Linked DNA regions of Lepisosteus oculatus. The protein of the gene in region 2 binds, or shares a complex with, the protein of the main gene of each other region. Links are inferred from orthologs where the notes say so. Each region holds a gene or a part of one and is shown on either strand. Other genes may lie near its edges.

Region 1 (11,341 bases), on a different chromosome or scaffold from region 2:
GACAACACCTGGATTCGCGATCAGGCGAGCGGCAACAGGATGTGAGCGGACGGGGGTTTGGAGCCGCGTTGAGGGTAGTTCCATACTCGCGCTTCAGGCTGCTCGTACCCTGGGTAGCTGTAGCAGTGGTCAGGGGGCTGTCTGTCTGTCCCGTGGGGAATTCTGGGAGGGGGAGCGTGGGGGGGGGGGGTTTGTTGCTCTCGTCCCGACTCGTGCTTCGGCCCCACTCCGACGAGGCATTGCGTGGGAGGGAGTCTCTCCCGGGGAAGGGGGCCCGGTGGGGGGGGCAGGAAACACGTGACAGAGCGGAGGCTCCTCCGCAGAAAGACACTGGGTTGGGCGCGGGACGGGACGTCCACTCTCCTCACCAGCATCCCCTTAGTGCCCCCCCCAGTGCTCCCCCAGAGAGGGGGGGTTCTGCTTCTAATTGCCCCCCAACTGCTTCCCAGATCGACGAGCCGCCTCTGTCGTTTGTTCATGGAAAACCCGGTTGAACACCTTCATCCACTCCTGAGCACAGCTGGGTGCGCAGAGATTAATTTGATCCTTCTCGGGGTTTTTTTTTACACAGTTTTTTTTTTTTTGTAATCAGCCTTTTTAAAACAAAATCTCCAGGTTCTGGTAACGCCTCGGTCAGCCTGCCCGAGCGCCCGTGTGAAGTTGCGCGTTTCAGTCCTTCCCATCCAGGACGCGAAACTTGGCCTCCAGACACATGAAATAATCATGATTCATGCTCGCTGTTTCCGTGTTTTTCTTTCTTTCTCTTGGGCTGATGTAACGAGGAGATTTCCAGTTATGACTTTGGCACGGTGTGAAAGAACGCTACAACATAAGAAAGCAATTATATATTTTTAGCCACAAAATAGTTGTGATTTTGAGCGCCACCCTCAATCGAACACACAGGAACATAAGAAAAGGTACCAACGAGAAGAGGCCAGTGGGCCCATCTGGGCATTTTGGTGGTTAATAGTTAATGATTAATCATATAGTATTTATCATTATTATATATGATAATAAAAGTATCAATAATACATTATTAGTAGTATTAATCGAGTGAAGGATCTCGTGATTTGAATTGTGCACTTTTGACTTCATCTCCTAACATTTTGTTTTGTTATTTTTATTGCTTCCCTACATTGTCTAGGCGATGTAAACATTGTGTCGACATAAACACCCAAGTCTCTTTTAATGAGGAGCACTTGTAGTTTGTTTCTGTTACCTGGATGCAAAACCCGACAACTCCCAGATTCATTCAAATGAGGCAAAAAATAAATTACACACCATACAGAGACAAGATCTATATTCTGATACGTTTCTAATGAACGTTTACACCAATTCCTCTCACAGTTAAACAAATATTGAACGGACTTACTTGCCTTTGGTAAGAGATTTAGAGTTGTAAGCCCCTGTATCATGTGTTAGTTAAAATTACTGTCGTATTTGCAGTGGCGCAAGCAGTTGCCGCAGTATGTATGCATGGTAAGCACAGCTAAGCCTAACGGACTGGGTTGGTGTGCCCATGTCTCAGGCTTCTTCTGTAAGGGGATGTTTAAATTATTGACATAAAATTGCTACATCTTTGGGAATCATCCATTTTCTAACCGCTGTGGGGGGGAGCCGGAGCCTATCCTGGCAAGCAACAGGCGCAAAGCAGAAACCATGCTGGACGAGATGCCAGTCCATCACAGGGCACACCCACACACACTCACACCAGGGCCAGTTTGAGACCATTAAGCTCCCAGTATGTGTTTGTAGCGTTGGAGGAGACCAGAGCACCCAGCTGAAACCCCATGCAAAACACCAGTAGTGGGCAGTGCCGGATTTCCCATGAGGCACCTTAGGCACAGCGCCTAGGGCCTCCCAAGGAGGGAAACTCTAGTGACTGAAACAACATGCTGGCGATCGGCTCGAGGTGCTCCAGATCAATAATCAGACGCTGCTCTAGACACTAGCAGTATGGAAGTGATGGTGGCTCGACTCGCTCCCTCAGTCAGGGGGTTTAGCACTGGAATAGTTTACAGGGCGTCACGTCAGTTGGCGTTCACCCCTCTTCACCCCTCGGAGTGAAAGTGCCCAGGGCCTACGAACCCCAGAATCCGGCCCTGGTAGTGGGGACATAAACTCCACACAGACAGCGCCCCAGGAAAGGAACCCACAGCCCCAGCGCTGTACAGCAGCGATGCCACCCTGCCGCCTCTTTACCATTCTTATTCAGAGGTGTTGTTTTTTTCCTCCACGGCTTTTTGTTACCGTTCCTCTGTGCGGGCATTCAGATGCGTGGCCTGTGAATACATCCGTCTCCCCTGTCTTCCATCCACAGTGCGAATGGGTCTAACGGGCCAGCGAGCGGCCCATTGTCTGAGCCCGGGGCAGGGCGCCCGCCTGAAGACAAGGCCGTGAATAACAGACGAGCACCGAGTGCGAGAAACCATCCGCTCCCCGCTGGCGGCCCCAGGGGCTCAGGCTCGGTGAGGAATTTAAATCCAGCAGAGTTGTGCTCAAGCTTTGCAGCAGATGAGCAAGGGCCCATTGAGAAAACAGTAATCCCTTCTGGTCACCATTAGAAAGTCACCACGTACCTACCTTTTGCATTGACTGTGTCGTCATTATCTTGGTCAATTCTTTCATTAACCAGAATGGGATGCATTGAGACCAGTTCAGTTTATTTTGCATGCCAAGTGCAATGAAGTGCTCAGAACCTCAATTCCTGATCCCTAAAATAGCAGGATCCCTAAAGACTGGCAGAGCCTGGGACAGTAGAATGACAGTCCAGCAGAATTTAGAAGTCATGCCTCAATTATAATCTCATGTAAAGACATGGAGCTAATGTCTTTAAAAAAAAAATGATGTAACCTCTTTAATTAAGCTTGCACGGTTGGGTCCTTTAATGAGGTGTCCAATATTTAACTGGGTCTCTACAGCAAACCAATTGGCCCTTACCGATCATGGCCTCTATGAACTGGTTTCATTACTCTGCTCTCCTCCCCACTGATAGCTGGTGAGTGGGGAGCGTTCTGGCGCACTATGGCTGCTGTCGCATCATCCAGGTGGGGCTGCACACTGGTGGGCTCATTGAGAAAACAGTCATCCCTTCTGGTCACCATTAGAAAGAGTAACACGAATGATACTTAGTCGTCTAGGATTGTCATACACAAGATATAGCTCTCTAGTAGTTCAAGTAGCGGGCTACCTCAGTGTGCCTAGCCTGCAAAGGAACAAGTAAAGGTTTATTCCCCGCTGAAAAGGGAAGAAAAGAGACACAACGTTTCGGCTGAGGAGGTTTCTTGGGGCGTCAACAGAAGAAGTTTGTGGCACACCCGAAAAGGGCTCCACGGCCGAAACGTCATGTTTCTTTCCTTCTCTTTTCAGCGGGCACTAGATCTCTTTAGTCAATGACGAAGGGGATTGAGAGAAGAGTTGATCCCAATTGCCACATTTCCGATGGTCATAAATGGTGCCCATCCTTGGCAGTTGAGGATCGAAGAAGTAATTTAGGAAAGAAAACAGCAGGCCCTCTCTTATACCAGGGGCTGTGTCAGCAATGTGTTCCTTCAGAGAATGGCTCAACCGGATCTGCTCTGCTACTCGGTCGCCGCAATGCCTGATGGGAGGAATGGCTTGCTCTTCTGTATGTTCTCAGACAGAAACAAAACCAAGGAAAATGCACAGGGCTGGGCACGCGTGTTTTACAATGTCGTGAGTCTCCCGAACTTCCCCAGCGGAGATTTGTGAAGCCGCATCAGTGTGGTCCTGTCCCCTCTTTCAGATAAAAAGGGCCTGTTCGTGACTGCTCTGCCTCACCACTACCTCAGGCTCGAAGATGTGGAATTTTAATCCGGAGAAGGTGGCCGTGGGCCTCTTTCCTCTCTCGGAAGACCTTGAGGGTTTAAAGGCTCTGTAGTCCAGAGTGGTTCTGTCATGGTCCTGGAGATCAGGTGTGTGCGCACAGGTCTTCCAGTTCTCTTTAAAGCAGCAGTGCAAGCAGAAGCAGTGGATGAAGCTCTAATTGGTTACTAAGCCAATACATCTATTTAGCTTAAGTTAACTGTGACTGGGAGTGGAGCTCCCTCTAGCGGGAGGTCGAGCCGTGGTCCTATCATCTCTATTCCTGCTGGGTGCTGGAACCGCAGGAATCCAGTCACAGGTCGTCCGTCACCTGGTGCTGGCTGCCCCCTGGTGGACAGAAAGTAGGACGTCTTGACTCCACAAGCTACGGCGGTGATGCAGAGCTGCCGGTGAGTTTCACACAAATCCAGGACAATGCGCTTCTGCTCTCATACAAGGAAGGGCTGGAAACTGATCCTTTCAAATTCAGTCATTTCGCCTTGGCAGGCCTGCGGCGTAAACGACTTATACGTTGTATATGGAGATTATAACGCAAGTCTTTGTTAAACGGTGCGCCAATTCCTTCTCTTACACAAACTCTCCGTAATTCCGTGCAGCATTTCTAAGTCCAGAAGAGAGGTATTTTTTTTAAATCTATGATCCCCAAGGGGCGATTAGTTTTGCCAGCAACAGAAAATATAAAGAAAGTCACGCACACGCACATATACAGAAGAATAATATGTTAAGCAAGGTTGTAACCGCGGGTACATACTGTATGAGAACGTGAAGGAGTTTGTTTTGAAATGGGAAAGTCTGTATCTGCGTTCTGAGGGGAGTAACGCCTGTGGTAGCGAAGCTCGGTTCTGCAGAACCACAGATCCAGTCGGTCCCGCTGATCACCCTGACATAATCTCTTGCAAAGACATGGGACACTGGAGCCGTGTAAAGCTTTCTGCATTGTGGCTGGTCACCCCCGTTCGAGTCATCTAGTTTAACAGAACACGTTGTCAATGCGGGGTTTTGAACTGCATCTATAGCACTTCAATATTTTTAAATGGCCATATTGTTCATGTTTTTGTTTTCATTCCCATCGTATTCCACTCAATGTGCTGTCCCAAGAGAGGAAACTCTGAGGAGGCTTAAAAGAGGAGAGGTTTAGGGGAAAGGGTCATTGTGTACGGTGATGGGGACGCTATATTACACTTGGTCTTAGCTGAAAGGCCAAGAAGACACACAAGACTACAGAAACTCACCACTGGCAGCCCCACTGGAGCTCAGCAAGTGTGAGCCTGGCCAGTACCTGGAGGGGAGACTCCTGGGAAAGCTGAGGCTGCTGCTGGAAGAGGTGTTAGTGGGGCCAGTAGGGGGCGCTCACCCTGCGGTCTGTGTGGCGTAAAACCGTGTGGTCTAAAAAGGCGTAAAACCTTTGCATTAGACATAAAACCAAGGTCATTTAAAATCCCAGGGTGTTTCTCAAAAAGAATAGTGTAGTGCTACTCCAGTGTCCTTGATTGTACCAATCATGGCCTCCTAATAATCCCCCATTTGTGATGTGTGGTGAGTACACTTGTGTACTTTGGCTGCTGTTGCATCATCCAGGTGGGGCTGCACACTGGTGGTGGTGCTGGAGGGGATCCCCATGACCTGTAAAGTGCTTTGAGTGGAGTGTCCAGAAAAGCGCTATATAAGTGTAAGGAATTAAATAATTAAACTAACCACTCTGAACTATGACTCGTCAGTCTTGTTTCTCCACCAGCAACGAGACCGTGCTCACCCCTGACTTCTATTCAAAACTGTGTGTAAACAAAACCTGGCATTTTAAAAGCTGGAATCTTTAACCTTCTAATATTGTGTACACCATTGATCAGACCCTCAACTGTCTGGCACACAATTTTAGCTCTAAGGAAAAAGCACTTCTTTTTTTTTTCAGGGAGATTTGGAAGATTTCTTGATCGCTTAAGGACCTGACCGATACAAAAATACCCAGGGTGTGTTGTTTTATTTCTGTTGGGTTTGCTTGTTGCCGTCTGTTGGGAGCCAAGCGCGGAGTTGGACCCGTGCGTCATCTGAAAGCGCCGCGGCGACAGATTTCAGGACCAGATGGCCCGAGCGTGGTCTCCCCGCGCTGGAAACACGAGTTCATGGTCCTTCCCCGATCAGCCATTTTGTCACGGTTCAGCGAGGGAGAAGCGCTGTTTTGTGTTCAAACGGTGGGACAAGCGCTTGTGTACAACAGCTAGCAATGCATTAATTATTAAAGGAGAGGACGGGCATACGGGAAAAGCACTGTTGCAGCATAGGTTATGGAACAATGTAACCTAATTTCTTTTTCTGAAAGCATAATTGTTTACCCCCGCTCATTTCTTGACCTTAACCCCCCCTTGGCCCTGCTAGTATAATGAAAAATAATAGAGGGGGGGCTGACCTCATCTGCAGGTTCTTAACTAAAGGCGCCAATGAACACAAAGAATGGGCGGCCCTCGGGTTTAAAAACCAGGAGACCGACAGCCGCCCTGACCAATCGCAATGTACTGCGCGCGTAATTCTAGCCAATCGTCGCCCCCGTCGGCCCCGATTATGTTAATCGGGGTCGATCTCGTTGAGCGCCAGCCCGCCCGTCCAATAGCGAGGCGCGAAGCGGCCGGGCGCCAATCGCAGGGCGCGGGAGGCGGGGCTTAACGGAGGGGGCTGGGTGCGAGGTATCATGGAGGCTCAGTTAGCGAGCAGCAGCCATTGAAGAAAGCCGAGACGCGGGGGCAGAGCTCTGGAGTTTCTGCAGTTTTTTTTCCCCAATTTAGTTTTCTTTCCCCCCTTTCGTTTGCAACTTTTTTTTATTTTGCTATTTATTTTTTCCAGACAAAAAAAAAAAATGGACATGAAGAAGAGGATCAGTTTGGAACTGAGGAACAGGACTCCGGACGAGGTAGGAGCTTGCCTTTCCCTTTGCCTTTTATTTATTTATTTCTTTAAAGAACCGCCGAGGCAGCTCGGCGGGTGTGATGGTAGCGAATGTGGAATTAGGCATCAGCTCGCCCGACCACATGGGCACCAGCGCGGAGACGCGTCGGAAATTGAACTTGGGGAAAGTTTCGTGCCGTCGGGGAAAGCCGCCCTCCTCGATAACAGACCGCTCTCCCCTCCCTCCCTCCGATTTAATATTTTAACAGCTCCCAGTAATGGCGATGTCGGGTCTTTATAGATGTAGCTGAGATCCGAGATGTTGCGGCCGGGCTCCGGTCCTGCCTGGCGGCGGCTGTGTCCGCGGCAGCTGAGCGGGACCGGACGGGTCGGGCGAGGGGCAGGGTGTCCGGCTGCGGGAGTCCTGTCGCGGCGCAGCCCGGGGAAGTTTTTGGGGGGTGTTTGTGTTTTTGTTTTGCACCCAGATTATTGAATCGGTTCGGGTCGAGCAGCAGCAGCAGCAGCAGGGAACACGCGTTCAAGGAGGAGGGTTAAACCCCTGTTTCTGGGGTGCGGGGTGGGTGGGTTTCGGCTCTGTTTTGTGACCCCTCTGCCTCCCTCAGTCCCCGTTTCGGGGCTCAGTTCGTGGCCGGTATTTCAAAGAGGGGGTCCCCGGGCTGGAGGTCTGTGAGTGGTGACGGGTTGTTGTGGGGGGGGGGTGTCGGCTCCTGTGTGACTGAGCCGACCCGGACCAGATGAGCCCCGGTCCCGCCTCGCACACCTGAAAGTGTGGGGGTGCGTGTGCGTGTTGGGGGGTGCGGGCGGGTATTCTTCAGCTTTCACAACCGAAATCACCCCCACACACACACCACCACATCCTTCATGGGTCGCTGTTTACAAACCGAGACACTGCCGAAGTACGTTTCACATGGAAAAAGACTTGTTTTTGTTGTTTTGCGATCGCGGCGGGCGGGGGTCTCCTAAAAAGTGGGAGCCCCCCTCCTACCCCGTTAAAAAAGGGGGTGGGGGTACCCCGAAGGTTTTTGGCGCCGCTCCTGAACGGGCGGCGCGTTGACCTGTGACTGTCCCAGCGCTGAGGCTGAGTAGTCCGCCCCCGGGCCGGCGCTGGGTTTCGGTTTCGGGGTTTCCGCGGCGGTGAGGGCGGGGGGTGTCCTTGTGGACTCGCGGCTTTATCTCTCGCCGACACCGGCGGGGGGAGGAGGCGGCTACGCCGGTGTTGCTGGCGACGGCCGCATCCCGGCGCTGTCGTGACGGGGGTTGTGGTGGGGGGGGGAGGAGAGTCAAGTCGCTGCCGCCTCACGACGGAGAGAAATGCCTTTCTCTTTCTCGGCGTGTCCTATAGCCCACGCCACGGTTTGTGTGCGTGTGGAGAGGAAAAACCCTGTCGGTGAGACTCGGCTCTCATCCCTGTGGCGTCGGAGCCCCGCAGGCCCGGCCGAGCGGCGCTGTCGTCGGACGCGGTGGCCGCCGAGCTGAATTTGAAGGACTACAGCAGATGGCGAGGTTTAACTCCGACCCCCCCCCCCCGCCCGCCCCCAGCTCAGTACCGTAGAAGTAGATTAAGCGCCCGTTTCCCGAAGCAGTTGAGGCAAAATCTGCAGCGGAATTATTTTTTTGTTTATGTCTCGTATGGTATGAAAACTCGGCTGCGACCCGGTTGTTTTTGTGAGAGCAGCTGCACCTGGGTATCGAAGTGACGGGGGGACACGGGTCATCGGTTTCTCAGTCCTAGGGAGAGAATTTAAGTTGGGTCTTAATTAAGGTCTCGTTTTCTTGATGGTGAAGACGGGACTTCACAACCCTTTCCAGCACTACCGGGGGTACCTCTTGAGTCGAGAGCACTCTGGAGTGCAGCAAACAGCGAAACCTCACCCACGACTTAGCCCGGACTCTTTCTGAGCTTTGTCCCTTTTGGCCGTTACCGTTTAATTCACCAGATAGCCGTGGAAATCCACTGTTCACTGTTGATGATGGTGATGTTCCGAGATCCGAGATGGCGTCTGATCGGTTTTCTGTTTGTTTTTTTTAAACCCAGGTTGGAAACAACCTTGAGTTTATTTTAACCCCACAAGTGGGCTTTAGGGTTTGGTCCTCTACAGACCTCAGTGATCGCCAGGCGAGAGCTTCCCTTCATTTAAGATCAGATCACTTTATTGGCCCTATACAATTTCTCATATTAGGAATTTGTCTTTTCACATACTCCAGCTTGCTCTCCTTGAGACACACAGACGGGGAGAGAAGCTGGGGGTCAGAGCGCAGGGTCAGCCATTTATACAGCACCCCTGGAGCAGTTGGGGTGAAGGGCCTTGCTCAGGGGCCCAACGGGGTAGGATTCCTCTGCCGGCCTCGGGATACGAGCCGGCAACTTCCCAGCCACAGGCGCAGATCCTGAGCCACAGAGCCGCCCCCTACCTGTACCGATTTTTAATTTTTTGCTTTCATGGCGCAGTTCTCGAGTTAGTGGTAGGACACCCACAGAGCCGTCAATCTTGGGGCACTGAAGGAGTCAGCACTACCTCAGAGCACAAACCCAGGATCAGTTCATGCACGTGGGGGTCACCTAAGAGTTCTCAGAGTGATAAAAATACCAGCTGGTGGGAAAACTATACAATTGAGGAACCTGTGGATTCACACGTTGTGATTCCAAGGACTTGAAGTTTTAGTCATCGTTCCATTCAGGTTTGATGGCTTCCTGTGCTGCCTGGACTGGGGCTCTGTGTGAGTACAGTTCGAGCCTCACCTTAGCGTGAGCTCTGTTTTGACTTGCTTTTCTTCCAAGCAACTTTAAAGCTGGTGAGATATACAAAGCTTGCATGTCCTAACTGCTACAAGGCTGTTTTGAAACCTCCTGGGTGTCCATTTACACCAAAAGCGCACTCTAAAAAAAAAAACAACAGTTCTGACTGTTGATCTTCCACTCAAATCTGTTTTGCAAATTAGCAGACGGCTGCCCTCCGAAGCCTTCTCATTGTCTTGTTTCGCACAGCTGTGCTTGAATGGGAGCTGGCTGCCATGTCTGCTCTGCTCAGACGCATTGGAACTACAGATCCCAGCATTCCTGGCGACAGCAGGTCAGCCGAAGGGGGGGAGGTCACAAAGCAGATAATGCTGCCTTTCCCGTCTGAACCTGCCCCTGGCGAAACCAAACCGGCCTGAATTTAAGCAGCTCTGCACCTCGTGTTTGACTCAGTGCTGTGAAAACGATCCAGAGGAGGGGCTAATCTGTGGATTGTTCTTGTTGCAACCAAATGTTGGAGAGAGGCACCGGTGGTCCTGATAAGTGCATTAGCTGAAACTGCTCAGCTCAGCCCACCTTGAGCTTAAGGCAGGAGTAACAGCTGTTGCCGAGATGGCAGAGAAGATTTGGACTCGATATTTCTGCTTCCTCGAGCATCTTCCTGCCTCTGAATCCACTACCCCCCCAAAGCCCCTGGAAAATCTGATATCTCTGGACTTAACAGATCCCTGGCTGTCGCTACAGATGGAGCCCGGCCTTTCATTATTTAACTGGTCTGCCCGGAGAATTTCCTTGTGAGCTCTCGGAAATGTTTATCGTTTTTTTTCGTTAATTAGAAAATTGCTTTCACCCTCCCCCTTGCTTGGTCTTAGGGTACAAAGAGCATGTTCCTAGGCGAGCAGTGGGATTAACTGTTAAATCTGTGGCATAGCACAGTCTCTTAGGTGTTTTTGTCATTTGGCTGATTACGCTTCGTGATATCGCAAGAGTGCCAGATGCAGGTTTGAGCACATTTCCGAGCGGGGGGTTTTGTAGTTGTAAGGTTGATCATCCCCGTTCATCTGTCACAATTCCTGACCCATTCCTAGTGTTGAGTGGTGGGGCTTCGCTCGGTCACTTCAGCACTTCTTCCAGGGCTGAGGTGCTCGGAGTTTGGGTGGGTTTGCCAGGTGCTAATCGGAGGTGTGATCGGTTGAGGCTTTTCTCTGAAGAGTAGGGGGCCGGTTCGTCTCGAATTCTCGCAAATGCCTGCAAAACTCCCGCAGATGGATCCGAAGATCACCTATTTTCACCTATTAACCCAACCCTTCCATCGGAGGCCCGAGCCTCGTTTTTATCCTGGTGTCCGAGACTTTGACCAGTCGTTGGATGCTTGGCTTCTTACCGGCAGTGAGGTTTGAACGGAGGGGCTGAATGTCGTCTCCTCTCCCGTCTCCCTCTCCAGGTGGCTGAGCTGGTGGTGGATAACTGCCGCTCCGGCGATGGCGAGGTGGAAGGTCTCACCGATGACTTCAAGGAGCTGGAGTTCCTCAGCATGGTCAACGTGGGCCTGACCTCCTTGGCCAAACTGCCCTCACTCCCCAAGCTACGCAAGGTGAGTGGGGCCATGGGTGCTCTACATTGCCACCTGCAGGATGTGGACTGGACTGCATTAGTTATCCCAGTAGATGCAACACAGCTCCTTACACTTATATAGCTCTTGTGTGGACACTCCACTCCAAGCGCTTTACAGGTCATGGGGATCCCCTCCAGCACCACCAGTGTGCAGCCCCACCTGGATGATGTGCCAGTCCACTCCCCATACACCAGCTCTCAGTGGGGAGGAGAGCAGAGTGATGGTCAGTTCTTAAATGGGGATGA
Region 2 (11,940 bases):
AGAACATACAAACTCCACACAGACAACACCCCAGGTCCAGTATTTAACCCAGGACCCCAGCGCTTCAAAGCAGCGGTGCTATCCACTGAGCCGCCCCAACTAGATATTACCTTAGTAATTATTCCAAAATATTAAATACCATCATTATGAAATATGAAAAAAGTAAATTATACTCTAACGTAAGTGGTACTACTGTAAAAATGAAACACAAATTCAGATACACAAGCCAAACAGGTGACATTATGGTCATGAACATGCACAGAATTGTCATACACCCAACAGCTCTTCACACTGCATTGTGATGTAGCCGAAGTTCAAGAAGCACACAGAACATTTATTCTACACAATAAACAATAATGTTAAGGTTTCACTGCCATCTAGTGGCACGAGAAATTAAATGCAAACAGTCCAGATTCAAGACATTTAGTTCAAAGTAACTTAAAAAAAGTACTTTAACGGGGAGAAAATCATAAGCCGAGACTGACAGATATACAAAAAAAACTACAACTGAAGTGGAGCTAAACCTGGGAGTTTGTGTTTCCAAATGTCATAGTCCTACTTACCAAGTCATAAATCTGATTTGCTAATTGAACTTTCTCATCTGCATCTTCCAGGGCTTTGTAATAATCCTGAAATGGGAAACGAATAGGAAGTTAGGAAGGGTGAGGCAAGGAAAAGAGGAAAAAGTCAAGTACAGAAAGAAAAAAGACTGCCAAGGAAAACAACTGAGCCTACTTCCTTTCCAGAAAGTGCCAGACACCAAATCCAGGTAGTTTATAAAAACAATATAATAAGGACTGAAACATAACAGCACTTCCCAGCTGGACACCTGGCTTCTGCTGTCTAGCTCAGGAGGTTCACTGGTTCACATTTGAGTCTTTTAAGTGGAGGCTTTAAATAATATGATATTTGTATAACAATTTAAATACAAAGGAGATCTTTATCATCTCTCTCTCATAGTAACATTAAAATTTCTGAGGTGTGCTCTTATGTATATTTTCTAGTTCATGGATGGGCAGTCCAGGACTAGAGAAGTCTGCAAAGTGTTAGCAGATTTTCATTTCAGCTCGACTCTTAACAAGCTTAAACTGTCTTAATGGGCCAGTTTTACAGCTTCTTCTAGCTTTTCAGGTGCTGGTGCCCTAAAGAGACCTAGGAAACCTGCGCTGGTCCTCTAGAACCTGGATTGCCCATTCCAGCTCTAGTTTGACAGCTATGACATTTTAATGAACGGAAGTAGGCACCGACTTTATAACTGAGAAAACACTCAATTATTCTCAAAACTTCAGTTTTAATATGCCTGATTGTAATCTCTTTTGATTTGATGGAACATAATCCATTGGATAAAATCTTAACCATTTTAAAGACTAAGTCTTCATTTAATAAAATAATTCCAATATATTCTATTTCCATTTTCTGTGTGGAAAATGTCTCTGCCCGTACTTTAGGTCCCCTCTAATGGAGAAAAGAAACACGTGTAATGCCAAATATATCAACACTGCACTTACATTTGAAAATAAATTGATATTAAAGAGAAGTATGTCCCCTAAAAAGGAATACTTCTCTTCTGATCTAAAATAAATGGTTTTCCATTTTTATTCCAGGAACAGTGTCAGCTTCTGTAGTATTGTAGCAACAAAGCAAATTAACGCACAACTGTTGTGACAAATGGCAACAAACCCTTCGGGATTAATAAAGTCTTATCTAAACTATACAGGGCTCATGGTTTTCCAATAAAGTAAAAGCAACAATCTAATGCCAAATGTAGAGAAACTGAACTGAATTAAAACAGACCAGATTTTTACCTCAAAATTGAGGTTTTCTTAAAGCAGTACAAAAGTGGATATCAACCATGGTAAGAGAGTAAGAAATTACATCCCTAGCATGCTGCATTTCAATCCTGGTTTCTACTGGCTTCAAGAGCTATAGCCCCAACTATAATTGGGCCAATTTCTATCCAGACAACTATTGTTCCTAATGCATAAGAAACTTTGACTTAACCTGCTAGGCAGAGAGACAACCAACTGGCATAGGGTGAGGAAGTTAGGATCCCCATAAAGGGAGAGATGTTAACCAAGGAGTAGCTGCAACAGTGGAGATGAGGTAGTGGAGGGATCCAGAAAGATGAATGCGAACAACAGTGAGGGGCAGATCGACTATGATATTTGTCATTTTTTCAGGAAAGTTTCAGGAGTTAAGAGTTGTACAGGTGAGGGACATCCCTTCCAAACTTCCAGTAAATTTTACATAAGAAATACATAATTACACCTACTTCTCTTGTGCCTGGTTGCAGGCCACATTAAAAATATTTATGGCACAGTGTGCTGTCAGTTGAAGCAATTTGTAGGGCATATTGACATTATGATGCAAAGAACATGCACTACAAAAGATTACTTTCAAATTTGGTTTTACTCATACCCAAAGTAATTTTTCATGTGTTGTCAGTGCATATTGCTTCAATTTGACCAGCAAGATCGCAGCCTGACAAGACATATGTAAAGCTCATTGAGTTTTCCTTTCAACTGCTTGTAAATTTTGTCTTCAAATTTGGAAATATTTTTTATATATATATAAATTACAAATTTACACTATCTACTTTGTGAAAATAAGATTTGTCTCACGTTAGTTACTTTGGAACTTAACCTTGTAATTCGGTTATATCTGGTACAAATCTGAAAAACAAATCACCTCCTAAACAACCAATTGAAAAACAATCAATTCTTAAGTTGGAGACTCCATTGGGTCAGCCCTGTTATTATATTCCATTGGTCAACCACGATAAGGCTTTCCTAGAGATGTACAGCGAAAACCATCTTTTAAAAAGTCAACCTAGCCGCTGGCTGGTTATCCGTCTAGCTCTTGCAGAATCTAGATCAATCTGGGCTACTACTAACTCCCCACTATGGCTGTAACCTATTTTTAAGCAACTAAATCACAATTAAAAATGATTCTACAAAAGCTTCATATTAATTTCAGTACTAGTTACCAATATATTTCTGCTGTTAGGACATTTTAAAATCAACACTTCTAATATGTGAGGTACTAAAGCAACTTTAGAGATCTAACAGCAATGAAAGAGGTCAAGTAGTTGGTACCCAAACTGTAGGAGCATAGAAACAGCTACACTACTTAGTATGTCAAGGGGAATAGTTTGGAAAAGCATGGCAGCATACACCAAACAAGAGAAAACAGCATCAGGAAAGAGGAACAGAGGCTGCAAGTCAAAGACACTTGCTAACCACTACAATATGATGGCCTCAAAAATGACCACAGAACTGAATCTACACCTCTGTGACCCAGTCTAAACAAAAACTGTGGCGAGAGATTCACAATGTTGCCATTTGGAAACAGCTAGTAACCAAGGCCAATACACAGCAATGCATAATCTGGTGTAAAGAGCTCAAAATATGTTTTTCAGAGCAGTAGAAGAAAGTGGTGCTGGAAGTGACCTATGCTCTGTGTTCAGCCTTATACCAGAAGGGTCAACCTGGGAAACGATGTGTCAGTGATGAGAGTACACAATGCATCATGTAGACACAGTAGTTAGGATTAATTCTGAATAAAAAAACATGTAAAATGTCCATATTATTGTTTTAAGACTGATCTTATAAAAGATCCTGATCCTGATCCTGATAACGGACAGGTTAGAAAATTTCGGCTGGATTAAAAATAATTTGGCAAAGCATGGAATAGTTTGTTCTTAAGACTCCTGGGCTGTCTGGGCAAAAGGAGCAAATGACTAAATTGATGATCATATAAAAGCAAAAAATGGAAGCCAAAACATTTTATTTATCTAGAATTGAAAAACTTGAAAACACTTAAGAGTTCAAATCAAATGCTTGAAATGCTGAATGCAGTTACAAAAAAAGCAGTGTACGATTAATCTCACTTTTTTTATTGCTTCCATTTGTTCCTCCCTCCATTCTGGCTTGTTCTTCTTTGCATTGATAAAAAATTCATTCACCCTCTGTTCCAGCTGATCCATGGCATCTACAACAAAAAACAAATGAATCCCTCAGATTAGGAGGATAAAAAGACAGGTTGAGAGCCTTTCCAACAACATATGTAACAGATTTGCTAGACCTTATTTTGTAGGTCTTATTTACTTTAAAGCTAAATACTGTTCACAACATGCATTTGAATTTTAATTCCATAACTGAAATGTCTGTAAACATTAGAAAACATGACTCACACTCAAGAGTCCAGAGTACTGAAAATGGTCAGTGTATAAAAGTACATATCAAAAGAGCAGCAATTTCCATTTAAGGCAAAAATATATCTATGAACACAATGCAAGTACAGGTTTCTTTAAATGGCTATAATGGTTTTACAAATTAAATTTCAAACTCAACACAAAATGCCTGCTCTCTAGCTTGGTGCAATGATTGAGCGTTTACTCCACTTCTAATAACAGTAATCTCTTATCTCTGAAAAAATAAAAAAAATTACATTGTAAATGCCTTGTAGACTGCATACTGTAAGTCTGTCTGCACAATAAAGCCAATCTGCTAAGGACTCTTCTGTGTCTGAAAATCTCTTTAGGCAATACTTTAAAAAGCTGGTTGATTTCATACGGTTCATCTGCACAGGGATGTCTACAGTTGAAGGGATTATTTTGGGGAGATGGCAGACATATAAACTGTAAAGGCATACAGTACATATACACAAGGAGTGAGTGACAAATTTGCAACAATTCTGAGGCAATGATTTTTTATATATATTTTAGATATTAGGAGGAATAAGAATAGTTAATAGAAAGTAGCTCCACTGTAATTTACATATAATCCAAGATACCTTTGCAATACAATATTCTGTTAAGACATATTTAATGTCACACGTGTGGCTGCATTAGGGACTTCACTCGTTCACTCCTCTCTCATCACCAAAATGTAAAACGGTAAAGACTTCCGATAACGGTCCATCCCATTTCTCACGGTAGGCCGCACACACGGCTCTTGAAATTCATCTCGTCTTTCACTTCCCCATCATGTTACCAAGCCAAAACTAACAACGGCATTTGGAATCACCCGGACAATGAAACAAATAAAAGCCTATATAAGTCTTGGTAACGGCACTGGTGAAGGGTTTCCTGTAACAACCCAGATATGTGCCCTCTGCCCCTTCATTCTATTCTGTTCAGGCTGAAACGTTCCTCCTCCAACTCCTTGGCAAGATTTCATCTGCTTCTGCTACGACGATCTTCTAAGCAGGTCTGAAGCACTATTGTTGGACAACAGCACTGAAATACACTTTAAGATGCTTAAACACAGTGTGCGGATTACAAAATAGAAAGTGTTACCATCATGAGTGACCGATAAACGGAGCACTGCCTGGATAAATGAAGTAAACAATGCAGATTGATGTAGACAGAATAGTGCATTTTAAGCTAATAAAGCTGTGAAATCTTCAGGAAAATGTAAATATTCGTAGTCTTGTATCTAATCTGATCAAAGATCAATATACAGCCCCATCTATACCAAAAATAAGCACTCCGAAATGAGAAAACGGCCATGAATTAGCTAGGCAAGTATTTGACTTGGTCACGTTGTAGCGAATGCGTACTCTGAACTTGGAGGTCCATTTCTCTCATTTCCGTAAACCTGTCGCGCAGATCCATGGGAAGCTGCTCGATCACTGCCAAAGAGAAGAATAAAAAAAAATTAGCTAGCCGTCTGGGAGCTACACGACACAACACCTGCACATCCCGCACGTTAAATGATCCTTAACCAACACGAAATTCGCTTACAAAATACCATACTCACTTTCCAGGTAGTCCTCTAAGTACAGCATTTTGGCTCAAACGTATGTTTTAGGCTTTTAGTAAAAGAATTTTAGCCTTTCAATATGGCGCCGTCTTCACCAGCAGCTCAAGGAAAAAAAAAAATCACGTCTCCCCGCCGGAGGTCATTCTATGTGACGCATCCCATGACTGCACATCTGATTGGGCGTGTGAGAAAATGACGCAAACTGATGGTTTAATGCCAAAGCATCATGGGGGATGTAGTCTAACCTCAGTTGTTTTATGACAGGCCAGAGCTTCAGAAACCGAACCACTCAGATAAAGGGCAAGTCAAATTTTGTATGTTAATGATATTTGATTGGTTTAACACATATTTGTTATTAAACACAAACGCACATTTATTATATACAGCAGTGGTCCTTAATCATTTAGAACAGATATCTACCTACAATCATAAACAGATGTACTTTAAGGGTATATTTCTATGTGGAGTTTGGATGATACCCCTCTCCAAAGACATGCTAGTATGTGTATGTTTGCATGTCTTAAGCCCATTGGTGGCTGGGCTAGGTTTCAGCTCACCTCAAATATGTTTGCTGGAATAAGTGGCTATTGAAAATGGATGGTCATTTAACTGGTAGATAAGAAAAGAAGCTGAGATTACAGTTACCACTCACAGCTTCCCCTCGAAATAATCAGGATTTAAATATTTTGGAATGAGAGTAAATAGGAAAATAGCAAATATATTTAAACAGCAAAACAGACATTTATCCAGACTTTACTACTGTCATTAATGTATACATGTTTGTGGACAGTATGATGTGACACAGCAATTTCAACACATACCGGTACACATTCTGCACTGACCAGCACAGCTTCCAAATGTGGCTGTGGGTAATGGGTAGAGACTTCTTTCTAATTTTTGTACTTATTTTACTTCAAATAGACCTCGGCTAAGTGAGATTAACTTTTTTTTTTAATCTTGAACAATAGACTATAAGGCAACCTGATTGAAGTATCCAAAAGCCTCAAAGGCACTGGCAAAGTCAAAGCAGTGAACTTCAGAATTAACAGTGAAACACAAACTAGAGGACACAAGTGGATACACTACATGGAAATATGTTTAAAACCAAGACGAGTGGGTGCTTCTTTACCCAAAGGGTTGTAGCTACACAGTCATGTTGAAGCTGATACCCTGACTTCTTTTAAGAAAAGGCAGAGCTTAGTTCACACCTAACTACCAAATAGACTAGATATATCGTATAGCCTCCTATCATTTGTAAGTGCTCCCAAGAGTTTAATGTGAATTGGGCTCTTTAAATATACAAAATTAAAGATACTTACCACGCTGAAGTCTTTGAATGCATGCTTTCAAGTTCCATGTTTGAAAAACTTTTGCAATTTGTCCAGGTGTTATATTGATAAGGTAACATGGCACTTTAGAGAAAGAACTTCCACGTTAACAACTAAATCAGTATCATTATTTTGGGGGAAAAAAACATTTAGTATTACCTTCGAATAACTATTTCCAAAAATATACTATTATATTTAACCAATGTCCTGTCGATTGTTTGATAGTACAGACATCTGTACTCGTCTTCCTCAAATGTGTTTCATTTAATCCGTTTTATAACAACGGATTTAACGAACATGATTTGTTTCACTGGCATAGTCCTTCATCAGCCTTCGTATAACACAATGTTTGGTTCATGAATTGCGTTTGAAGAAAATCATGAGCATTTATTTGGAGTGAACGGAGCCATACCAAAGCAAAACGCCACTATCGTGTTACTGACGTGGTGGAGCCCTTCAGGCACCACCTGTGTGGTCTCCCGTTCACCATCCGCACTGAGCAACCTGCGCTGCGCCGGTTTACGTCCTTCAGTGACCCAGAGGGACAAGCTGCCCGGTGGGCGGACGAGCTCCAGGAGTACAGTGCTGTGAAAAGACAGGAAGCAGAGCCTTACGATGCGCTGCGCTTCTTTAAAAGCAGTCGTGTCAGCCTACAGCGGCCCACTGCCTGCAGCCCAGACGACCCTGAGATGACAGCGGGCCCAGAGAACGCTATCCATCTGGGCCGAGGGGTATCCGCAGAGCTGTGGCAAGCGGCCTTGAGGAACAACCTTTCCAGCCGCCAAGAGAGGTGCACCGTTGCCTTCAGCCCAAAGCCCTATCGCAGGAGGAGACGCCTCGCCTTCTACCGTTTTCCCAATCGTCTGGGCCCGGTCCACAGCTGCAATATCCCAGCACCCAGCCCGCCCCCACACACTTTACCAGGTGCGAGGGAGCTGGGTAGGGGGCAGTGTAACACCCTGCTATCGCTGTGTCTAGGAGCCACTGAACCCTGACCTTGAGTCCTCCTTTCCCCTCTCCCTGCCTTTACAAAAACGCCCCCCTCTCTCCCTCTCTCCCTCTTTCGCCTTACTCCAAAATAAGCAGCGGCAGCCGTTACTCCTCTCCATGCCCTGCTTCCTAAACCTCCTCTCAGTGATTAGCACGCCTTCGTCGGTCAGAAGGCGAAATTAAATCACTGAGGTGCAGTTACCTTCTCCTGCATCTCTTCCTATACTGCCGCCGCTAGAAGGGAAAACTAGGGGGAATATCTGTATTGTTATCATGCATATGTTCGAAGGGGGAACAGTCAGTGTGCGTTAAGCTCAAAGGAAGAAGTAAAGGTTAATTTCTAAATGAACAGTAGAAAGAAGAAACACGATAATTTGCTCATATCCGAGAAAACCGAAACAACCGAAACATTCCTGTAAAATATTTTGGTTTGTGACAGTAATGCTAAAACAATACATAGTGTAGCACAACTTAATTTCTTTCTCTTAACAATTATTTCTCTGAACCGAATGTGTCAGTTTAAAAACTAAAGGCTGTAAAAATAGTCTTTCAGGATTTAGTATTTTGTGCTTTTAACTAGAAATTTCATGCGGTCTTCTGCCCTCTGGTGGCAAAGCGTGGAACCCCCACAACCCAATGTTGTACAATTTTATTAGTTACAGATACTATAGATATTATATCAAGGGTTATATTATGACTTCAAGCCTCCCCGCCAATATACATGCTACAGCCCTTCTAACACAGTCTCCTAACAAGGAAAAAATAAGAAACATGTTTTCGCGGAAGAATACTTAAGCAGCGAAATCAACTTCATTCTGTGTGAACTTTGTTTTTCTGGACCCCTCAGCCACACCTGATCATTTTACTTTTGTCCGGAGGAAAACCCCGAGTTACATACTTTCAGGTCCCTGTGCTAACTCTTACTCTGTTTTTGTACTTGGCCCAAGATGTAACTTTTTAAACCACCATTCAAGTGTTTCATAAGCATGTAGAGTTGGGAAACTGTTTTTGACATGACTTCTTCTGTTACACTAAAAAGGAAATTAAATTAATAAAACTGACAAAAAATACAGAATTGTGTTAACATTATTCATGCCTGTTCCTATTCCAAAAGAATAGGTACCTTAATAAAAAATTAAGATTTTTTTTCATGAAGAAGGTCAGTTCGAGAAGACCTTCTGAAAGTATCCTACATGATTGCCAAAAGCTCTGAGTTTCAGATGGTGACAGGGAAAAACAGGCATCTGTTCTCAGGTGCTTCTTTGCTCATGTAGAAAAATTACCACATTTTTAAGCATTTAATGCATTAAAAAATAACAGTCTCAGCCTTAAGGGCACTTCTCCATATTATTTTTGTTACAGATTAAAAAAAAAGTTTTAGAAAGTTAAATTGTTCTTTTACAACTTTTTCTATTTCTCCCCAAGACATTTATCATTAAATTTCCCCCTGGCCTTTACCAATCATGGCCTCCTTATAATTCTCATTTATGAACTGGCTTCATCATTCTGCTCTCCTCCCCACTAATAGCTGGTGTGTGGTGAGTGTACTGGAGCACTACGGCTGCCGTCGCATCATCCAGGTGGATGCTGCACATTGGTGGTGGTGGAGAGGAGTCCCCATTACCTGTAAAGTTGTTTGAGTGGAGTGTCCAGAAAAACTGTATAGAAGTGTAAGGATTTATTATTATTCTCCACTTTCTCTGCTGATCCATAATGACTGCCATCATCACCCATTGGTGGATAATTAGATTTCCCTCCTGTGTGTAAAGCACTCTGATTCTTTGGGATAAAAGATGCTACATAAATACCTCATTAAACTGGCTAATCACTACAGGAGAGTATATAAAGGTAAATTGGCATACCACCCCCTTCTTGCTGGTGATTAAAATGTTTTCTTTATTTTATCAAGGGCACAAAAACATGACACTCAATTTGAGTGGCCTTCTTCAAATGTGTATTTCTATAAGCTGATATTGTCACGGATGTCGTAAGGAACGAACTGTGGAGAGGCAGGAGAGCGGAAAAAGACCCTTATGCTTAGCGGCGGAACAGGGGATTAGCAGTTCAGGAGTCGTATAGAAACCTATGCCCTCAGGCAGTGGACGTGGGGTGACCTGGTGCTGTAGGTGGGTCTCAGGACATCTGAATGTCAATGCTGAGCGAAGGTGAATGAGTGACCCGGAAATATATAGCCCCAGAGAGAGAGAGATACCGGAAGGACAGCAAAGCACAGGAAACTAGGGACATGACAGAGTAGGATCAGCCAGAAGGCGTGACAGATATCTACTGTACAGTGTATACACAATTTTAATTGTTTTGAGGTGTGCGATCTAATGTAACATATGGTGTAGCTGCATACAGCTCTCTTATGAAACAGTGGCCTGTGATGCATGAAACTCCATTGTTATTCACTCGGGAAAATTAACTTTTTTTTTAGGAGGAGCTAGTATTTATATCAGTTGGACAGAAAAATGCTCCTGACAAGCTCATTGCTAATTAATTAGTTCTTCTGTATGTGATAAAGCAGCCTCATGGCTCTTGTGAAAATGAAAATCTTGATTGTAAAAAGAAATTAAAGAATTTGTAATATATGTAAACTTTGCATTCATTTTAAGGACATTGTAGTATATTTTGTTCTTTGTTTTGCTTCACTCATCCATGTGATGTTGAATGTATAGGTAATCTGAGGAATTTAGGTCTGTTTTTGTCTGCAAGCATTTTAGAATGCATATATTTTGAAATATGTAATGTGAAGGGGGCAATTCTAAAGCCTTCTAAAACAATAAGCTTCATCTAAAAATGTCCGTCTTTTCTTGTGTGTCTTTAATGTTTGGAATAATAAAATAATCTATTGTCTTATTATTTTATTATTTAATATATCTGTCACTGTGAAAACCAAATTCTGAATACATTTGGCAAATTAATATAGATTCCACGTAGCAAAAACTATTGCACCAACCGGATGGAAAACATTGACTTTAAAGAAATGTATATTCAGTCCACGTTTGGAATTTGTTCATATTTCAATAACATAGCAATGGTCATTTTTTCAGCAACATCTGAGATGGTCAGGTGGGGACAGCTGGTCCAATAGACAAGGAATACAACTTTTTTAAAGAAACGGCGTGCTTCTATGAGAAAATCGATGAAATGTTTTATAGGGAAAATACATGCAAGATTAAACATTTTATGCAAAAGAAGTAATTTGCCGATGATCGCTGAGATTAGGTCTGTTATGAATGCATTAATCTGATATCAAAGGTATCCATTCAATCAATTTAATCCTTCGGTTTCAGAAACACTACTCTGGAAAATGTACAGAGTGGTTTTAAAAAACGTTCAGAAATTAAAATCTTATAGATTACAGAGTAAGCAAAACAACACAGAGTACAAATATCAGATCCCCTAACAAGAAAACGCAAAGTGTTATCCGTTACGTTTACATCACGAGTGCGCTAGTTTTTAAATGTTATTTTCGGTGTTGCAGACCCCAGCTGACAAATACATCTCCAATATTAGGAATACAAGCGGGGAAGGGAGGAGGGTTACAAAAGGTGAAAAGGTTAGTTTTGCACCCCCTTAACTACCAAAAGTCCTTTATTTTACAAACTGTTCCTGTCAAGAAGGGGGTGGAAGAGCTTGCGTCTTGCTTTCAGTTGAGACAATAATGCTCTCTCAGATATGACCCCTTGACCGACAAATGCTATCTTTCGGAGGCGGATTTACCGCCCACATTCTTTTTCTCCAACGGTCTTGGATGCTTTTCGACTTGATGTGCGTATGAGTCGCCTCAATTAGCTATCTTGTGTCTCTAGGACCCAGAAGAACACCGAGACAAGTCTGTCAGGGTGAAGAGT

What was found.
Region 1: ing3 (region 2) and anp32e share a complex: the UniProt entries of both Homo sapiens proteins name them as parts of the SWR1-like complex. The link is inferred for Lepisosteus oculatus from reciprocal best matches to the Homo sapiens genes ING3 and ANP32E.

Annotation. Positions count from the first base shown.
Region 1 is NC_090722.1:3,723,194-3,734,534, forward strand, and holds the start of anp32e (acidic leucine-rich nuclear phosphoprotein 32 family member E), read left to right. Parts: upstream 1-6,522; 5' UTR 6,523-6,694; coding exon 6,695-6,748; intron 6,749-10,925; coding exon 10,926-11,075; intron 11,076-11,341. UniProt on the Homo sapiens protein: Histone chaperone that specifically mediates the genome-wide removal of histone H2A.Z/H2AZ1 from the nucleosome: removes H2A.Z/H2AZ1 from its normal sites of deposition, especially from enhancer and insulator regions.
Region 2 is NC_090702.1:40,166,935-40,178,874, forward strand, and holds the start of ing3 (inhibitor of growth protein 3), read right to left. Parts: upstream 5,904-11,940; 5' UTR 5,791-5,903; coding exon 5,763-5,790; intron 5,635-5,762; coding exon 5,563-5,634; intron 3,991-5,562; coding exon 3,890-3,990; intron 630-3,889; coding exon 564-629; intron 1-563. UniProt on the Homo sapiens protein: Component of the NuA4 histone acetyltransferase (HAT) complex which is involved in transcriptional activation of select genes principally by acetylation of nucleosomal histones H4 and H2A.